Linked DNA regions of Arabidopsis thaliana. The protein of the gene in region 2 interacts with the protein of the main gene of each other region in a pairwise test. Each region holds a gene or a part of one and is shown on either strand. Other genes may lie near its edges.

Region 1 (4,838 bases), on a different chromosome or scaffold from region 2:
CATGTGAGTAGACATAAAACAACAAAAACTTTCCATAGTTTTGATTCTCTGGAAATATGAAAAAATTCCCAAATATATAATACATATAGCCAAATCTTATTCAAGGCCCAAGATGATAAGAAACGATTATATGCGAATAACAGATACTAGCTTGTTGTCTATCGAGGAGATCAAGACATATCTCTATGTCAAGTACATCTGTCTTCTTGTCGTTCTCTCCAATTTTCTCTTAAAGAAAGTGTCTTCTTTTTTTCTTAATTAACCTCGCAACTAAATTAAAATAAACTTTGGTTGGTTATCAGAACCGATTTGTTTTTTTTTTTTTGTTTTTTTAATACAAACAAAACATTCAGCAGACCTGATTTTTAAATTAACGGACCTTTCATATAATTTCAACTACAAATCTAAAACATAGAATAATTTATAAAACGATTTTGAAGAAGGCAAAAACTCGTCTTTATAAAAATAATAATGCTATAGCTCAGAAAGCTATGACTCGGAAGTCTTCATCTTCTTTTCTTGTATTCACTGATTTGACGTTAACGTATAAATTTTCAGACAATATCTCCATGTTAAAACAAAAATATTGCTTAGGATACTTGTTATGTGAGAGTAAACTACATATACATTGCAACGTCTAGACAAGCTTATAGACAACGTGCAATGTCTTGTAACTCTCAAAACCATATATATAGACTCTCACTAATGTATTTCTTGGTTACTATACTATTTAGAAGAAAACAAATTTCTGCTCCCAACTCGATCACAAATCATATATATTTTAAAATATGCATTTAACGATCTCGACAAAATTATGTGAATTTTTTTTTAATAAAAAACATTAAAAAATGTCTCTATTATTTCCTTAATTATGGGTCTTGTCACAAGTATGCAACGAATGATAAACAACAATACAGAACCGTCTTCCATCAACAAGTACCACAAGATCTCACTTAGAATATACGTATATAAGTTGTTATACATATTCACAGAGTGAGATCAAGGGGACTTGCCAAGACCGAAATCTTTCTCTTTTTGTGATCAGTTTGATCTTCTTTCCTAATGGTTCGGTCGAGTTTTGATGAACCTGAAGATGATAACGAAAGAGACAAACTCTTGATATCTTGATGATCATCATGTTCTTTTACTTCATCTTCTAACAAGCATTCTCCAAGATTGTCGTGTGTCCGAGGTACCTTAAGGGACAAGCTTAGATCCAAATCTTGGTCTGACTTATTGCAGTCATCAGAAAATAATAACCTCTTCCTCTTCAAAACATTCTCTGATCCTTCTGCCACTCCAGCATTCTCCCATTGATAAGAATTTAGCGTTGTAGCAATATGATCTTGTGGTATTGTTGCGGTGGAGGACTTAAGATTGGAAGAGAGGCTCTGTCCCCATGATTTGTTAAACGTTTTCATACCTTCAAGAAAACTTCTATGAATTCTTGGAACAGCTCCAGCTACTCCATTGTTATCATGAACCCCTTCATGAGAATTGATTCGAAATGAAATAGTTTTGTTCTTATCGTTAAGAATACTATTGCTAACTCCGTGATATCTCTCACCAGGCTGTGAGCTAAACATTGTTTGTCTTGTTCTTGTATTTTCTCGTGTCGTTAATCCTCTCCAAGGGCTACGGTAGATCTGTCGTCTGTGGTCAGTCCACGAACCACCACCATATCTATTGAATACATTCCAAGTTACACACACGTAATTTTAACTTATAGTTTAAAGATAGCTAGCTGAAGAGTTTGTAAATACCCTAAACTAGAAGAAGGCCTTTGATCAAAACTTTGTAGCATTGGAAGTTGGCTAAGGTTGTAAGTGTAACCAGCTCCGTGTTCAAACGAAAATCCTTGATCTCCTGTAGTTATAAGAAAAGATAAAACACGAGAGACAAGAATTAGTCAATTTCTCGTCGAATTCAATTATAAGATTTATAGAAGCCCTAACTTAAATCAGAAGGTAGAAGAAAGCTAAGTAAACTACCTTCATTAGGCTCATCGGTCTTCTTGCTTCTGTACATCTAAGAAGAAAAAAAAATGAAGTATGATTTCAGATGAAGATCTCAATGATGTATATAGATATATACTCTATGTGTATGTGGATATTTGCAAAACCTGAAGATGACTCTTAACATGGGCAATACTTAGCCCCTTGACGTTCATCAATTGGAGAACAAGCTTCGGTGTTGCTCCTGTTTCAACAAAATCATTGAAAGAGACCCCAAATAAATATCAACAAGAAAACCCTAGAAATTTAGAGATCTTCACATATGCAATGATCTTGATATTGATTCATATATATAATTGAAACTCAACTATCTGGGCCACCCAATCTCTCCACAGCTTGAAGAAAGCAAATATGGAGCTCCGGCGTCCATCGCAGCCTCGGAGTCTTTGAGCGGTTGTACGGCCTCACGGATCCTCCATTCTTCTTGTTCTGATCATGGTGGTGACTCCCACTCTCTTCCTCATAGCTATTGCTAGATGGGCTCTGATCTCCAGATCTCTCTTCTTCATCCTCTTCGCCTTCTTCATCATCCTCTTCATCTTTATCTTCTTCATTCTTGGTGGTTGCTTTGATGTTGTTAGATAGACAAGTCTTGGAGTTTTCAGAATTTTGGCTGCTTGATCTCATCTTGGTCTCTAGCTATTTGGCTGTTTTTGTGTTGTTTGTTTTGAGGTTGAACCTTTTTGGTCTATCTTGGAGTTCTCTGGACAAAGATCAAACAAAGATCACACACTCATACATATGTGTTAGGAATTTAAGGTGAAGACTTTTGATGGTCTATGTGTATGACTTTTTGGATGCTTGTATCCATCATTCCTTTTTCTCCCCCTCTCTCTCCAACTCAACATATATGTTGAAATATGTATATGATGGCAACGGATATTCTAAATTCTATTTAATATATAGCTTTTTATTACACCAATGGTTTTTTCTACAGTTATATACATCTTAGGGAAAGATAGATCTAGAATTACACCTCATGACAAAAATGGTACTTTTAATTTCATTAAACATTAGTAACTTCAGTCATAAGATGTATTTTAAAATGAGTTAATAACTATTAAGTCAATTAGTACAATTAATCTTTGAATCTCGTTGTGATAGGGAGTGAAAAGAAATTCCAAGGAGTAGATTGAATTTATCTAAATAATGATCATTTTCATGGTAAAAGATCAAACGTTTTCATGATATCAACCCGTACGTATACCAATTTTATGACATAAATCAGGGTTCAATATGACATGTACATTAACAATTTTTTTTGTTCTTTCTTTCAAAACCAACTGAAGATCTATGTTTTTCATTGGATTTGGTACGTGTTTTTGTTTCATTCGAACTAGCTTTTAGCAATATAGGAAGAAGGCAACATTAATGAGGCATACACATTAATTAGATAAATGAAACTTCTTCCATCGTTACAACTCATGAATTAAATTGACTAGAAAAGCAAAGCATAAAAGGGGATGGTTAGGGGGATGGGCTCGTGACTTCAAAGCCAAAGCTGTGAAACCAGAAAAAGAAGAAACCCAAAAGCATAATTAGATAGATAGACAGAGAAAGAGCATAGAGAGAGGAATCAGACAGAAGTTAAAAGGTGCTTGGCTGGGCTGTCTTCACTGAAAGACACGAGAAGAAAATATTACTACTTGTTTCTGTCACCAACGACAATCACGGGTTTGTCTCCATCTCCACTACTCTTACGATTTCATATTATCTATAATTATCTACACATGCGCCTCTCTCTATATACATGCAAATAGTACATCTCTTTTTCTATATATAACCCAAATAAATGTTAAAAAATAAATAAATAAATTAGGATACAGAATATAACAACTGAAGCTAATAAGTCACATGATTATCACAGAATTGAACTTGAGAATTATATGAGTTTCTGTACGTACACACATGCAACCAATTGATTTAGTTTGGAATTCAGTTCAGGGGTGATTAGTTCGTTCTATATAGCGTACGTACTATTAAAATTACTAGTAAAATACTAAACAAAAGATATGTTCTAATTAAGTATGTCATACTTTTATTTTTGTGAAATTAAGGAAGTAGGCAAAGTAGGGGATGTCATACTTTTTTAAGAACTTAGAAAGGAGAAAATTAAAATGTATAATATATGATTTACTTATTGTCATGAACTTTGCGCCTCCAGGAGAGGGTCAAGGCAGAATTGTATCTATCTGTATTCCTCTAACATCAGCAGGCTAATTTTTCTTGTAAGCGACATGCAAGTACTGTGTCAAATTTTGTGAATGGTGACCAGATAATGTGAAAGTCATCGGTCAAATAAATTAGGTATATGACATTTCTTTCTGTTTTTTTTTTTTTTTTCAAAATCGTTTTTGGAAGCCCAATGTCCAGCCGTAATCGTATATTTTCGTCGTCGTTATTAATTGGTAGGAAGAATTAAAGCTGTCGTATATTTTGGTTTTAAAAGTGTAGCAATAATAATTTACGTTAGAATGACGTTCTTCATATCTACCCTATAATCCTACTTCCATGCTCAGACAACCCATGATCAATTATACGACCCAACAGATACCAAATGCTAAGTATTAATATCAATCACGGTATTGACAAAAAAAGGGTATATTAACTACGGTATTGATTTACTAAGTTATATAATCCGTTGAAATTGACCACGACACTATGCTAATTCATTTTCCTTGACACATATATGAAATGAACCAATCAAATTCTAAGCGTGGACCAAAGTCTTCGTGTTTTATGTCTCTCAACTTTTAAAATTTCGGTACCTATAAGGCTATAACTTTTTTATAATATAGGGTTTGAACTGAAGATCTGAGATTG
Region 2 (4,434 bases):
AAAACAGGAATGGAGATCTATGTGAAGTATAAACAGATTGATACCCCTCTTTATGTTTCTAGATTTGAACATGATCATGAGATCATCTTTTTCGGGGTTTTTGTTCTTTGCGGCTAAAACGTTATAGATCAATGCTCCGATGAGAAGAGGCTACTCTCCAAAGAGAGTAAATCCGACACCAAGCTGCTTACATAGGAAAACATGAACCCTCATGCTCTTACCTTTTTAGCAAGACAATTAGTACAAATATTACTACTTCATGGCCTAGTATATCCTAAATACGTTAAACGTATCCAATCCTATTGATCATCTAGCATTTTCAACATCTCAGAGCAGTCCAATTCAACACCATTGAAAAATCAGAGTTTTAAATTTAACATGTAGTGGGGATAAGCACTTGCGTTAACCTTTCAAACCCAAGAAGTGGCCCATAGCCTAACCTACATGTTCAATAAGGCCTAAACTTTGCCCATACTCATGTATGACATATGGTAATCTCTTTCTCACTTATAGTTGTAATGGTAATGCCAGGAACACTTGGGCCCAAAGTATAAGTTTTAAGTTTTTAAGTTTAACAAAAAAAAAAAAAAAAAAAATCCTGGAAAAACTTTTAGAAATTTCAACTATTTTTAGCCCACTATTTAATATTTTTCACATAGCCACATGAAACAATTTGGACCATTTAATTTTCTTTTGCATTTCCTACATCAATTGTACTTCTTGGTTTGTGGCTACTCGCTAGACACTATAAATATTATTGCAATAAAGTTTCTTGTGATAGTTTTGTCCAAAATATTTATTGCAACAAAACAAAACAAAATGATTTCAAAGTCATAATATCTGATAGCATTGGCTCTAAATATTTGTTGTTACTTGTTAGCATGACACATATATGTTGGTTTAAGCTAGAAAAATATTAATCTGTTTTTCTTTCTTTCTAAGAAAATACATACATGTTAACAACTACATGCATATCTGGTCCATGAAACTTAAAAAACGACCAAAATGCCCTTTGGTTGCAAGTAAAAAGACTTAGGACCTAGGACGAAGAGCGTCAAAAGTCAAGCCGTGAGATATCCTCGTCGCAGGAGCCCACGCATTGACCGGCAACGACCGGTGGTGCGCTGACGTAGCAGCCTGAGGTTGTGGTGGCGGGACCGACACGTGTTCACATGAAGGGCACATGGTCAAAGTAGTGGGTGGGCTCATGTGCATGTAGAACTGAGGAGAGAGCTTAAGTGCTCTCAATTCCGTTACTTCTTTTTGTAGCCGACGGTTCTCTTCCGTTAGATTCTCGCAGCATCTCCGTAAGAACTCGCAGTCTACCTCCGTTTGCTTCAGCTTTGTTCTGTTAAACATTTACCAAAATACCCTTATAAGAAAATAGATAAATCAGGCAAATAGAGAGATCTTTTGTTTGTGTGTGTTTTATTTACCTTGCTCGTCTGTTCTGAAACCAAACTTCCACTTGTCTTGCTCGTAACCCTAATTGTTTAGCCAATGCTTGCTTCTGCTTCTGTGAAAAAAAGTTGAAAAAAACCTTGATATCAGTCTACATTTACCAAAATGCCATTTATAAATTAATATCTGCATTTATGAGAGACCGAAACAAATAGTAGTAGTAATGTTTTTTCTTTGGTCAACATGTAACAATAGTCATTTTAATGTGAATATTTCATTAACGCGTTCTTTTTTCGTTTCCACAATTTATCATAGCCATTAATTTTCCCAGTAAAACCAAACTTTCTCGGGTGAAACAATAAGTAAAAGAAGAAAAAAATTACCGGATTGAGAGTACTGTGATCTTTGAAGGTCTCTTCAAGAATAGCAGATTGATCTTTGGAAAGTCTAAGCTTTTTCCTGGAGTTATCACCATCTTCATCGTCACTGATTCCTCTTGAGCCTTGTGGATCTGTGTCTTCTTCTCTCTCGCTTCTTTTCCCTGTAGAGCTTGAGACTGTACTGTTAGGTGAAGATACTCCAGCGTCTTCGTCGCCGTATTCCGCTGTAGACGGTGGTCTGTTCACGTCGATTCCTCGGATGAAAGTTCTTGTTTCTTTTTGTGACGAATCTGAGTTTGGAACTGCATGCATAAGATTGAAAAGTAGAGTAAAAGGTGAGACCTTTAAGGTTTTTTCCGGGGAAAAATAAAAAAAAACAGAGGAACGAAGAAAGCGATGAAGTACCTGAAGAAGTAAAACTCTCGTTCCATGAAGATCTTCTGAATAATCCAAAAGAAGAAGAAGAAGGAGTAACAGAAACAGATGGATTTGATTTGAGATTGATCTGTTTCTTTGGAAAATTCAAGCCTAAGCTTAGACCCAGATCGTCTTTCTCGAACATCATCTTCTGTTGAACTTTCTCAAGATAAGAAAAAAAAACTCTGTTTTTGCAAATAAAGTTGTCTGCTTTTCTTTTGAGAGATAGAAGATGAGAAAGTAAAGGAAGAAGAAAGGTTAATATATAGAGAGGCAGAGAGAGAGAGAGATTTTGCAATCATGAGTATGTGACTAGCTGGGGGCAAAATAGTTATTATTATTAAAGTCAAGAATAAACTATTGAAAACTTTAGTTCAATGGAAATAATTTTATAATCACAAACTTTGCTTCTTTGTCCCCCTCTATATAACTCTCTCAAACCTAAACAAATTATCAAATCTAAGAAATTGTGATAAAATAATAATTATAGTCGCATCATTAATGATTAATGTTGATACTATATTAATGTTTATGTGACATCAATTTTCTCAGTCAAAGATGATTATCAAACTATCACTAATAGATAATTTTTAGGATATTCATAAGGCGAGAACAAAATCTAATCGTAGTTATCTTATTTTGCCTTTTGTTTACTTTTTTTTTGTTTTAAACATTTGGACTTATCACTTTTCGTTTTATTTCAACCAAATTTTCTGTTGTAGGTGATTGGTTAGATCGTTGAGTCGTGAGAATATATGACCTAGTCAAACAGAAATTTAGAAATCCTCTTTGACAATTATTGGAATTAGATCTTTCATTTTTCGATATATATCACTATCTGCAACTAATAAAGCATATAAATTAGTAAGTTACCATGAACAATTGCACATCCAACAATAGTAAAATCAAATTTTTATCATTTCCATGGAATTTATCAAATTTTAACTATGATTGACTTTATTTTATGAGATTATTAAAAGTGGGAATGATAATTTGATTGCTATTGTCGAGAAAGAGTAAAAAAAATGATTACCCTTCTTGATGACTCTAAAGGCCAAAGAGTCACGCTTGTTGCACACTTTAAAAACCTTTTACTTTTAAACATTAGTGATAAAGTTAATTAAAGAAGAACTAAACAAAAACGGTTGAATTGAATTCAAACTTCTTTTTATGAAAAAATTAAAGAATTCAAACTTCTTTTCAGATTTTCTTCTTCTAACGCATGGGTCGACCGCATGAGTTTTACTTTTGTCGTTGAACCACTTAATGACCAAAAACAGTACATTGTACCAGAATATAAAATACTACTATTTAAACTTATTAATAACTTATAATGATGTTTTCTTTTTCTTTTTGTTAACTTAATAGTGATGATGTTAATGAGGATGTTGAGAGAGTATCATCATATACCATAAGTCCATAAACTTATTTGTCTGAATGATTTTTGAGTTTTATTTGGTTTTATAAAAACTGATGTTTTGTATTATGATAACTTTCATTTCTCACCTATAACAAGTGTAAAAAAAGAAAATTAATTATTATTATTAAACTAATAAAATTAATTAAAAATGTAGAATTATGTGCATGTATAATAAAATTATTAAATCATGCATTGAGATAAACATGGGTTTCATTCGACTTTTTAAAATGAATAACATCATACATTAAGCATGGTTAGATGTTTTTGTAATGCTAAATCGTTGAATAATTTGTAAATCAAATGGTTACTTGTCAAATCATATAATTATTTCATATAGACCCATTTTGGTCATAAAGGTCGATTAATGAGCATCAAAATCGATTCCTTTTATTAGTTGCAACAAGATTTTTCTTGCCTTCAAATCCTTAAAGGAGATTAATTCAGCATTGACAGTGAAGGTCCCAGTGACACGCCAAAAGAAGAAATGATTATAGAGATTGAAAAGAAATTGACGGTCACCGATTAAACGTTGAGAAAACCAAAGGCTGAAATGACATCATACGGTTGAGAAACGTTTTCAGTGTTGTGCCCCACTTAATCCAGCTATATGCTTTGACAACCATCGAATATGATGAATGAATTGGATCAATATGATTGGAATCAGACACACAAACTTTTCGTCAATCTGATTTTCATAATCACTGTGGGTCCTTTTTATAGTCGTTTTTTTGTATGTGCAATAGAAATGGTCACATTCAAGCAAAGATATTGAAAGAAGTTTTTTTACTACGAAAAATATTTTCGCTAAATAAGTAC
Region 3 (5,269 bases), on a different chromosome or scaffold from region 2:
ACTATTAGTCTTTGGAAACTTGAGCAGAATCTAGAAGATGCTTGAACTTGATTGTGTCGTTTTTTTCTTTTATTGGAGACGATGTTGATATTTTAATGTTTTGATAATGTCAGGACAGAGACAAGAATTTAGCAAATGGTGCGATTGCAAATCTTGTGGATGAAGTTGGTGGAGCACTTGTACATGGCGAAGGCTTACCTATGAGTGTTTCAGTGGACATGTCTATTGCATTCCTTTCAAAAGCTAAGCTTGGTGTAAGTCTGCTCAAGTCTTTTTTCAATCTGTACTTTGGGACTGTTTGTTTGCTATAGAAATGGATTGAGAGATATGATATTGAAATGGAAATGAATTTTCAGGAGGAGTTGGAGATAACGTCGAGATTGTTAGGAGAGAGAGGAGGTTATAAAGGAACAATCGTTGTAGTCAGAAACAAGATGACCGGGGAGATTATAGCGGAAGGTCGACATTCTATGTTTGGTAGACAAGCTAGTAAGCTCTGAGTCCAACTTTTAAGTCTTGTATCACTGTAATGTCTGTTTTCAATAATAAGATTATGGTTAGGTAAATTTGGTTAGGTCCTTTGTTCTTTCTGGTTGTGAATCTAAAACCTTGGTACATAGCTTATAAAGATCAAACCATTCAGTAACTGTGATAGTTATGTTGATGAGGATGGTATGATATGTCTCATCTATACAACATTGAAAGCTGTTTAAAGAGGAATTTGAAGAAGCTTCAAGAGAATTTTGTTGTCTATGGTTTCAGCTTGGATTTAATGTGTATGTTGGATTATCAAAAATTCAAAATTATAATGTCAACAAGAGTCTACAACTACTGTAACAATTCTCTTCTCTTACATTGGAAACTAATTTTAAATAGCAGAAGCAAAAAGTCAAAATGTAGATATGGCCGGAAATTCGCACTACATTTTAACTGACAACGGTTCCTATTGAGACGAACCAGTAGTAACAGCAGCATCAGCAGATTGCTGAGAGGATCCTGAAGGTGCTGCAGACACAGAGTCAGGTGGTGGAGCAGAGACTGAACTTGGATGTGGAGGATTAGGCCTTGAACCGGGACCTGGTTGTTGTGGGTAATCATGATCAGCTTGTTGTGAATGGCCATGGTGGTAAGGAGGATACTGCTGGTAAGGTGGTTGCATATATCCTCCATATGATGGTGGCGGGTATGGCTGGTGCTGAGGATAGTGGCCATGTGGTGGCATAGTGTAAGAAGAAGAAGAAGCTCCTCTGTTGTCACTGGTGCTTGAACCGCTTTCTTTGGACGAACTAACTGCACCCATTCTCTGAGGGTCCATTGATGGGTAAAATGGTCTGTCTTGATGAGGAGGTTGTGGTGGTGGTGGGTGCATATAGTATTGTAGCATTGGTGGAGGTTGATTCTGTTGCTGAGATATAACTGCTCGAGGTAGTAAACCACTATGAGCCACACTGCCCTGTTGGTTAGAACCATCTTGATCAGGTTTGGGAACCTGAGGTCTTCCCCATGTGAGTTTTAGCCTCTGACCGTTGACAACTAGCCTGTTACTGAGCTCTTCTGCAGCTTTCTCTGCTCCTTCTCGGGTTGTGTAAGTGACAAACGCACATGCTTTCTCAGCCAAGATTCTGATGGATTCGATTTCTCCATGGGCGTAGAATTGATCACGAATGTCTTGCTCAAGGACTCTCGAGTTTAGCCCACCAACATAAAGCGTTCTGATGCTTTGATCCTCTGGAGATTCCAAAGTACCCATCTCCCCAGCCTTGCCAAGTAACTTCAACGCAACTGGATCGTTTACACTGCAGGAAGTGAAGAATAAGATGAGAAAACAGTTCCAATATCACCAAAATAACAGCCAGTTTACGCACACAAACTGATGTATTTTTCATAACTCTCTTTCATGATATACCAAAGCAAGAAATTGAGGAGTAACTCAATATTATCATACTCAAACAAAATGAAAGTTAGAAGTATGCTTACCCATAATAACGGTCTTTAATGTTCTGCTGGGATAACTCTCCTGTTTCAGGCATCTCATGACGGTATGGACACTCATCACCTCTTGTACACTCTCCCCTAATGAAGAAACTACAAATATGAGCTCGGTTCCTTTTGTAGTAAGGCGTTGTCCTTTGAAGCATACGAATGGTATCGTTGGGCCGAATCTTCCCAAAAGAAGACTCATAATCTAGTCCAGCTCTCGTCTACACAAGAAAACAAAACCATTTCAATAGGCCATTACAAAGTAGAGAAACTGTATAGCCAAATCTCAAACCAATCAATACTCAAATAATATAACTAGTTAGAACGCAGAGTCACCATACCTTTCGATCATGCTCTTCAGCGAAAAACTCTCGGTTCACATCACTTTTTGGGATAGAATCATGAGTACTAATGTTGAGCGCCGTGTCTCTGACCTGAACTGGAAGACCATACTCAAGATCCAAGAGACAAACTTGGCACACATTCTTCAACTTGCAACATGTCTGACAAACTTCAGTCTTCTTGTATCTCGCATCCCTACCAGGTCGCCATCTGAAAACCGTGAAAGGCCGGGTACAGATCTTACACTCTTTATCGTAATTCGCCTTTGTCTACATACCAAACAACAACAATAAATCAATCAATCAATCAAACATGAAGCTGCACATCACTACCAGACATAACATGAGACAGTATTCAATGAATTACATTCCCTCTAAGCAAATTTGATCAGAACAAACCAAAGATATCATTTTGAACTACAACTCCATGAATTCTGATTTTTACCAAAGGTTATGAATTGTATATTAAATCGCTTAAACCCTAAAATCTCAAATCACTAAAATTGCAGCTTCAACACTAAGAAACATAAAAGCATTAAACAAGCTCGAAAATGGACAAATGAAAGGAGATCTTAATAAAGACACATGAATGTTAAAAAAAAATCTAGCTAAAGGCAAGGAAATCGAATTTGTTTGAGGAGAAACATAGGAAGCGAAGAATATACCATTCTCACGTAAGGATTGTCACCGAGACAAGACTCACAGATGATTGGGAAATCAGAACGTTCCCATCCATCAGCCTCGTGATCTCTCAGTATTCTATGCGCCATTTCCTAATTCTCTTCCTTCCTCAATGATTTCTGGATTTCTTCTTCAGTCTCGAACACGAAGATTACCTTGAAGAGCAGATTTGCTCTCGTTTCGATTTTTTCGGGAATCTTTAATATTACAGCTGCTGTTGGGCCGAATGTTTGTTTGGCCCAATTTAAACCCATGAAATAAGAAAGCTTAAAGTGATGGTGGTGTACTGAAATAAACAATACGGACTCACACAGATGATAATTCATCGTCACACACAGGCGGGAACAAAAATACCCTAAAATCGCTAAATGGCGCCACAAAATCTCAGCTTATAATATCACTTCCCGCTAACAATTGCAATCTCCTCCCAGAAATTTCAACAGCTCTAAAAACCCTAACCGTTTCGATTCACACTCTAACCTTTCGATAATTTCCCAGAAGATGTTGGAGCTTCGTTTAGTTCAAGGTTCTCTACTGAAGAAGGTTCTAGAAGCGGTCAAAGATCTGGTGAACGATGCGAACTTCGACTGTTCGACCACAGGGTTCTCGCTTCAAGCTATGGATTCGAGCCATGTCGCGTTGGTGTCTCTTTTGCTTAGATCTGAAGGTTTCGAGCACTATAGATGCGATAGGAACCTCTCTATGGGAATGAATCTTGGTAATATGTCTAAGATGCTGAAATGTGCTGGAAATGATGATATCATCACCATCAAAGCTGATGATGGTAGCGACACTGTTACTTTCATGTTTGAGAGTCCCAGTAAGTTCTTCAAATCGATTTTTGTTTGTTAGGGCTTTGGTTTTGTTGTCAATGTTGATGCTATTGGTGACCTGATTCTGTGTTTATAGGTTTGATTTGCCAGAAGCTAGAATATGATTGTAGAGAATGATTCAGTCCATTTCTTGAAAGCTTTAGTTTGTAAGAGATGAAAGAGAAGATAAAATCTATGTTAATAGAGGGTTTTTGGTTTGGAATAAGGTTTGATATGGCTTTGTTTTTGTGTAGTTAATGATGTTATTAGTGATCTGAACTGTTATTTATAGGTTTCATTTGACAGAAACTAGAACTTGCTTGATGAGAATGAGTCCTTCCATTTTTGTTTTCAGAATAGGTATAGTCTCTAGCTTAAAGACTATAGTTTGAAAGTGAATAGAGTTTCTTGATTTAGTGAAAGTTAACAGAGGAACTTTGTTTGATATTGACTATGTGGTGTTAATCTCATTATTTAAATGGTGTTGATGATGCAGCACAAGACAAGATTGCAGATTTTGAGATGAAGCTGATGGATATCGACAGTGAGCATTTAGGAATTCCTGATGCTGAGTACCACTCGATTGTGAGAATGCCTTCTGGTGAATTTTCCAGGATATGCAAAGATCTCAGTAGCATTGGTGACACAGGTAAATGAACTGTTTGTTTATTTGGTGTATCACTGCGAGGATTCTCTAATCATGATTCTGGTTTTGATGTTATGATTTTGCAGTTGTGATCTCGGTAACAAAAGAAGGGGTGAAGTTTTCAACAGCAGGTGATATCGGGACAGCAAACATTGTGCTCAGGCAGAATACTACCGTCGACAAAGTATGAACAATCACTAGTCATCTAGAGAGATTTGTTTAATAATCTGTCCAATACAATGTTGAAGTGACCTTATGTTTGTATGTGTGTTTTGCAGCCTGAAGATGCTATTGTGATAGAGATGAACGAGCCTGTTTCGCTTTCATTTGCATTGAGGTACATGAACTCCTTCACAAAGGCTACTCCATTGTCGGAAACTGTGACCATCAGTTTGTCCTCTGAGTTACCGGTCGTGGTGGAGTACAAGGTGGCTGAGATGGGTTACATTCGATACTATCTGGCGCCTAAGATTGAAGAAGAAGAAGACACCAAACCAGAATAATGATGAATGTTTGATAGTCTTCGTTCGAGTCCTTTGTTGAAATGTCTGTCTTGATTCAGTTGTTTTCTGGATTTACTATCTTAAGGCAATGCTAAACTAGATAATCGTATGATGTTTGTCTTTCTGAAATTTGGAAAAGCTTGTTTATAACACTTTTCATCTGTTTGTTAAACATTGAAGAAAAAGAAGACACGAAGCCCTAAAACACGTTTGTTTGTGGCTTCTGCAACCTCACGAACTAGTGTTGATTGATGTTTTTGGATGCTTTTACAATTTGTAAAAAACATGTTTAACACTCTTTACTTC
Region 4 (4,707 bases), 390 kb from region 2:
TATAATATGTATAAAATTGAATATAAATATTTCAAATTATGACCTGTTAACTCAGTAGAAAGTTTTCTTAAATCTATTTTCACCCGTTATAATATTTTTCATGTATTGAACAGTTTATATTCGTTTTTAAAAATTCAAATTATGGCATATGCGAAAAAACTCTAATTATTTTTTTATAATGATGATATTATTTTTTCGCAAAAATAGAATCATATAAAGATGAGAAGTGAACTATAATAATTAATAAAAAATTAATATGATAATTTAGATATCAAATCTAATTTGTTAATTTTAATTGTTTATTTTTTTGGAAATTAATAATGTATTTCGTTTTTCTAATTAAATTAAATTAATTAAAATTTAGATATCAAATCTTATATGTTGATTTTGATTGGTTATTGTTTTTGGAAATTAAAAATGTATTTCGTTTTTTAATTAAATTTAATTAATTAAATTAGTATTTGACTTTTTAATCCTTAAACAGATAAATTAATTTACTCTTTAAAATTTTATTTCTAATGGTATACCTATGTAATTATTTACAAAAAGTAAGGTTACATTTAAAATGTACTTCCCAAATAATATAGTAAGATTTCTAACGTAAATGAATTCAATTTTAGCAATTTCTTCAAAACGTTTTCTGAAAAAAAAAGCGAAGAATATCCAAAAGAAAGAAAGTAAACGAAGATGTCAAAACGAAAAAAATGCCACTACATGTGGCTATGTCCTATGTACATCATCAACTATATATAATTCAAATCTCATTTTCAATCTTTATTTTTGCCTATAGAAAACGTCCTTTTTCTGTACTGTTGTCTTGTTTGTTGCTTAGATCTGGATGGACCCATGGGCCTATAACGGGCCTATCAATTAAATACTCATCATCATCAAAATAAAACTTCGACACCGGAAGTCTTCACGGCGAGGCAAATCGGACAGACTCGCACTGCTCCGACGTCGCATCCATTACAAAGAATCAAATGTTGACACGGCAATGCCATCACCGTCGCAGATTTCCGCCGGCAAATCCTACAACTTGGTCCGATCAATTCGATCCGCTCCGGATCCACGTAAACCGATTCAGCGTCCTCTGCTTCTTCCGCGTCTCCGCCGTCTTCTCCGAACGTACTCTGTTTCGCCGCCGTATCTAGGCGGTTAGCTATGGCTTGTTGGAGATGAGCATGTAACGAGGACACCTCAGCTTCCCGCGTCGCCGCTCTTAACTGCCAGTTTCGCGCCTCTTCCACGATGTGAGCTACACGCGCTTCTAGCTCAGCGTGACGGCGCGTGGCTTTCTCCAACTCCGCTTCTTTTTTTCTCAATTTCCGTCCGACTATCTCCTCCGCAGCGCACAATAACTCTACGTAGCGTCTCTCTCTGTTATCCGCTAACGTACGCCGCAACTCTTCACCCTGCAAAATCAAATTATCAACACAAAGAAAAAACAAACCAAACCACATTTTAGGTCGAGTTTAATAAGACACCTGAGTCTGAATGAATCTGTCTAGTTCATCTCTTTGCCGTTTAATCTTTCCGGTAACATCTCCGGGAAGAGAAGAAAAAAACTGTTGTTGATTCTGTGACTGATCATGAAATAATCGAAGACCAGTGGAAACCACGTTAGGCGTTTTCTGCAACAACTCGGTTATATCAATAACTTGCGACGGTTTTGGAGGTGGAGGGTTCATCAGAGCCGATGAATAAACTTCTCTTGATCGTTTTCTTGAATCAACCCCTGTTTCAAAAACGGTGATGATTGAATGGAATTGAAGGAAAAAATTTGGAAACGATATGGGAATAATGAGAAGAGAGACCAGCTTTGGTGAAATTAGTGAAAGGAGTGTCTTGAGGCTGCAACGAACAATCACTAGCTTCTTGTCCGTTACTGTTCAATAAATTTTCATAAGAAATTGAAAACATCACATACATAATAAATACACAGGGCGTATACTATTACTATATGATTATATGAAGATTTTTACCTGTTGTTGAAGAAGAAACGTGAAGGATGCTGAGCTTGAATCGCCATTGAGCTATCAGAGAAGAGACCTATGCGTTCATTATCAGATAATAAGGGCATGCATGTGTGTTTGTGTATATGGGAAATGATGATGCTGATGATGATGAAAATGTATTGATTTTTTCAAGTATGAATTAAGAACTGAAAAAGAAAAGGAGAAAGAATGGGAGAAATAAATGGGGAAGATGAGGTTTTAGAGGGGAGGGGGACGAAAGGGTACAAAGACTTGTGGGTCTTTTTAAAGCTTTCAACATTATATGCATGATTCACACTAATGTTACCATTTTTTTTTTGCATCTACTTCTATTTTTTTCCTTAGTACTAGTACTCTTTCAATCATTCTTCAGTTGCAATATAGACTATATAGTATAATTTAGAGACTGAATCAAAATTAAAAGATGTGAACGATGTAACACTCTTCCCAAAGACCCTTCCAACCTAACTAAACCAAACCGTCTTTCAACCAAACTAATCCATTTTAGATCAGTCGATACATCACATATTTGCATGTTCCAGATGAATAATCTGTAGATGTATTCGTTAATCTTGTAGTACCTGAGGGTTTTAGCTACCTAACAATTTTCTTTTTCAATTTTTTTTTTTTGTTTTTTTTTTTCGTTTTAATTATAACTTAGATAGATCTTGGGCCAAAACCTAGATTATTATTACATGATGCATATAGTGAACCGAGTATTTCTTTTTTTTTTTCATTTAAGATGTTTACAATAACTAAATAAAAAGCTAACAATAGCGGTCCATAGTTTCATAGCAAAAAAAAAAAACAAAGAGAGAACAATAGCGGTCCATAGTTGGTTGGGATTCATATCTAGGTTTGATGTATAGGATAAATCCTTCACCACTCTTCCAATATAACCAATGTCCCAATTTTTGATATTATAAAAAGAAAACGGAGGAGTCGTCAATTATTGAAAGGTCTAGATCCATGTCGATGGCTAGATGCATATAAAGCATTAATGGATCGGACGTCATATATTCTTCAAATAAAAGGTATCAAATTAGATTATCCCTTGGTGCACTTCACGTTTCCTCATTGATATTATGCTTCACAGTTGCATATTATATATATGCTGGTGAGTCTTTTTCAAAACGATAAGCGACATACATATTCTAGCAAACAAACAATGTTCTACTTACCACATGATACATATAGGTACATAATGTTTCGTCATCAGTACACATTGCCATAGCGTATACATGAGATTACAAAAATTGAACTATATATAAAAAGAAAATCAAGCTTATCAAAATGTTTGGAGGAGTATGAAACATAATAATATATATAGGCATGATTTAATACTTTATAAACAGTAACACGTTAGCGAAAATTGATATCTAACAACAAATAATTTGGTTCTAGCATATGTTGGTCAGAAAGAATGGTAGGAATTTATATACTAATAAATGTCAACAAGATGACATAAAAATCTAGAAATGTGGTGGCAAGGTAAGCAACAAATTGATATAAGATGGATGGCATGTCCATTGTCAAGCAGTTGCATGATTTTAGTGGTCAGAACTCAGAAGTCAACATTTTTCTTAATTTTGTTTTTGTTTATATTTCAAATCAAGAGCAACATTAGATTAAGTAAAAGTTTGCTTGTATGTTTAGCCTATCAATTTAAATTTTCATATCTCTAACCATCAATAATGTTTTCTGTAGATGCTTTAGTTGATTAATCACCATTCCAAAATTCTTTCAAAAACAGGAGTAGTAATACAAAACAAATCAATTGAGTGATTAATCACCTTCACATTTCCCCAATTAGCATGCATTCCATGTTTGTGGTTTAATTAACCTAGAAGCCAATCGATTTTATAATGAATTAGTGTTAGAAAACGTTTCTAATGAAAAATGAAAGTAAAAACAAACTAAATATAGACCAATCACTGAAATAAAAAGAACATAACAAAAGCCAAACTCCAACCACACGTACATGCTTCTATATTTCACCGATAACAATTCAATAAAGAAGTCTACCTCATAGACATCTCTTTACATTTCAATTCCGTTTCCATATTTTACAAACAATATTTCTTTCACAAATCGATACGAGTCTCGTGAAATACACAATGTCTTCGGTTATAAATGTTCTCTTCGTCGTCCTAGTCTTTGTCCCGTCTATATACTCGGCACCACCACCAAATTTAACAAAAGATTATTACCAAAAAACATGTCCCGATTTCAATAAAATCGTACGTGAAACCGTTACACCAAAGCAAGGCCAGCAGCCAACGACAGCTGCTGGAACACTCCGTCTCTTTTTCCATGATTGTTTCATGGAAGGATGTGATGCTTCCGTCCTTATCGCTACAAATTCTTTCAACAAAGCCGAACGTGACGATGACCTCAACGAGTCGCTTCCGGGAGATGCATTCGACATTGTGACTCGCATCAAAACCGCTCTTGAATTGTCTTGTCCCGGGGTGGTGTCCTGCGCAGACATCCTGGCTCAGGCCACACGTGACCTTGTCACAATGGTTGGTGGGCCTTTCTATGAAGTCAAACTGGGCCGTAAAGATGGTTTTGAGTCAAAAGCCCATAAAGTCAAAGGAAATTTACCTTTAGCGAACCAATCCGTCCCCGACATGTTATCGATATTCAAGAAGAATGGTTTCACTCTAAAGGAGCTGGTTGCGTTAAGTGGCGGGCACACAATCGGATTCTC

What was found.
Region 1: the proteins of HB-2 (region 2) and AT2G40260 interact in a two-hybrid assay, tested with the Arabidopsis thaliana proteins (one large-scale study listed by BioGRID).
Region 3: the proteins of HB-2 (region 2) and MAC5B interact in a two-hybrid assay, tested with the Arabidopsis thaliana proteins (one large-scale study listed by BioGRID).
Region 4: the proteins of HB-2 (region 2) and AT4G17680 interact in a two-hybrid assay, tested with the Arabidopsis thaliana proteins (one large-scale study listed by BioGRID).

The regions. Positions count from the first base shown.
Region 1 is NC_003071.7:16,815,832-16,820,669, forward strand, and holds AT2G40260 (Homeodomain-like superfamily protein), read right to left. Parts: upstream 2,900-4,838; 5' UTR 2,643-2,899; coding exon 2,324-2,642; exon of another isoform or gene 2,200-2,323; coding exon 2,123-2,199; intron 2,029-2,122; coding exon 1,992-2,028; intron 1,867-1,991; coding exon 1,764-1,866; intron 1,684-1,763; coding exon 987-1,683; 3' UTR 699-986; downstream 1-698.
Region 2 is NC_003075.7:9,447,203-9,451,636, reverse strand, and holds HB-2 (homeobox protein 2), read right to left. Parts: upstream 2,524-4,434; 5' UTR 2,347-2,523; coding exon 2,187-2,346; intron 2,084-2,186; coding exon 1,785-2,083; intron 1,517-1,784; coding exon 1,437-1,516; intron 1,349-1,436; coding exon 1,033-1,348; 3' UTR 732-1,032; downstream 1-731. UniProt on the Arabidopsis thaliana protein: Probable transcription factor involved in the negative regulation of cell elongation and specific cell proliferation processes such as lateral root formation and secondary growth of the vascular system.
Region 3 is NC_003071.7:12,649,833-12,655,101, reverse strand, and holds MAC5B (CCCH-type zinc fingerfamily protein with RNA-binding domain-containing protein), read right to left. Parts: upstream 3,277-5,269; 5' UTR 3,092-3,276; coding exon 2,987-3,091; intron 2,592-2,986; coding exon 2,322-2,591; intron 2,202-2,321; coding exon 1,978-2,201; intron 1,797-1,977; coding exon 944-1,796; 3' UTR 766-943; downstream 1-765. Other genes in the region: AT2G29590 (Thioesterase superfamily protein), read left to right, coding at 114-254, 357-500; PCNA2 (proliferating cell nuclear antigen 2), read left to right, coding at 3,504-3,822, 4,311-4,463, 4,547-4,644, 4,739-4,963.
Region 4 is NC_003075.7:9,842,016-9,846,722, forward strand, and holds AT4G17680 (SBP (S-ribonuclease binding protein) family protein), read right to left. Parts: upstream 2,320-4,707; 5' UTR 2,081-2,319; coding exon 1,983-2,080; intron 1,886-1,982; coding exon 1,815-1,885; exon of another isoform or gene 1,736-1,814; coding exon 1,485-1,735; exon of another isoform or gene 1,461-1,484; coding exon of another isoform or gene 1,413-1,460; coding exon 888-1,412; 3' UTR 595-887; downstream 1-594. Other genes in the region: AT4G17690 (Peroxidase superfamily protein), read left to right, coding at 4,112-4,707.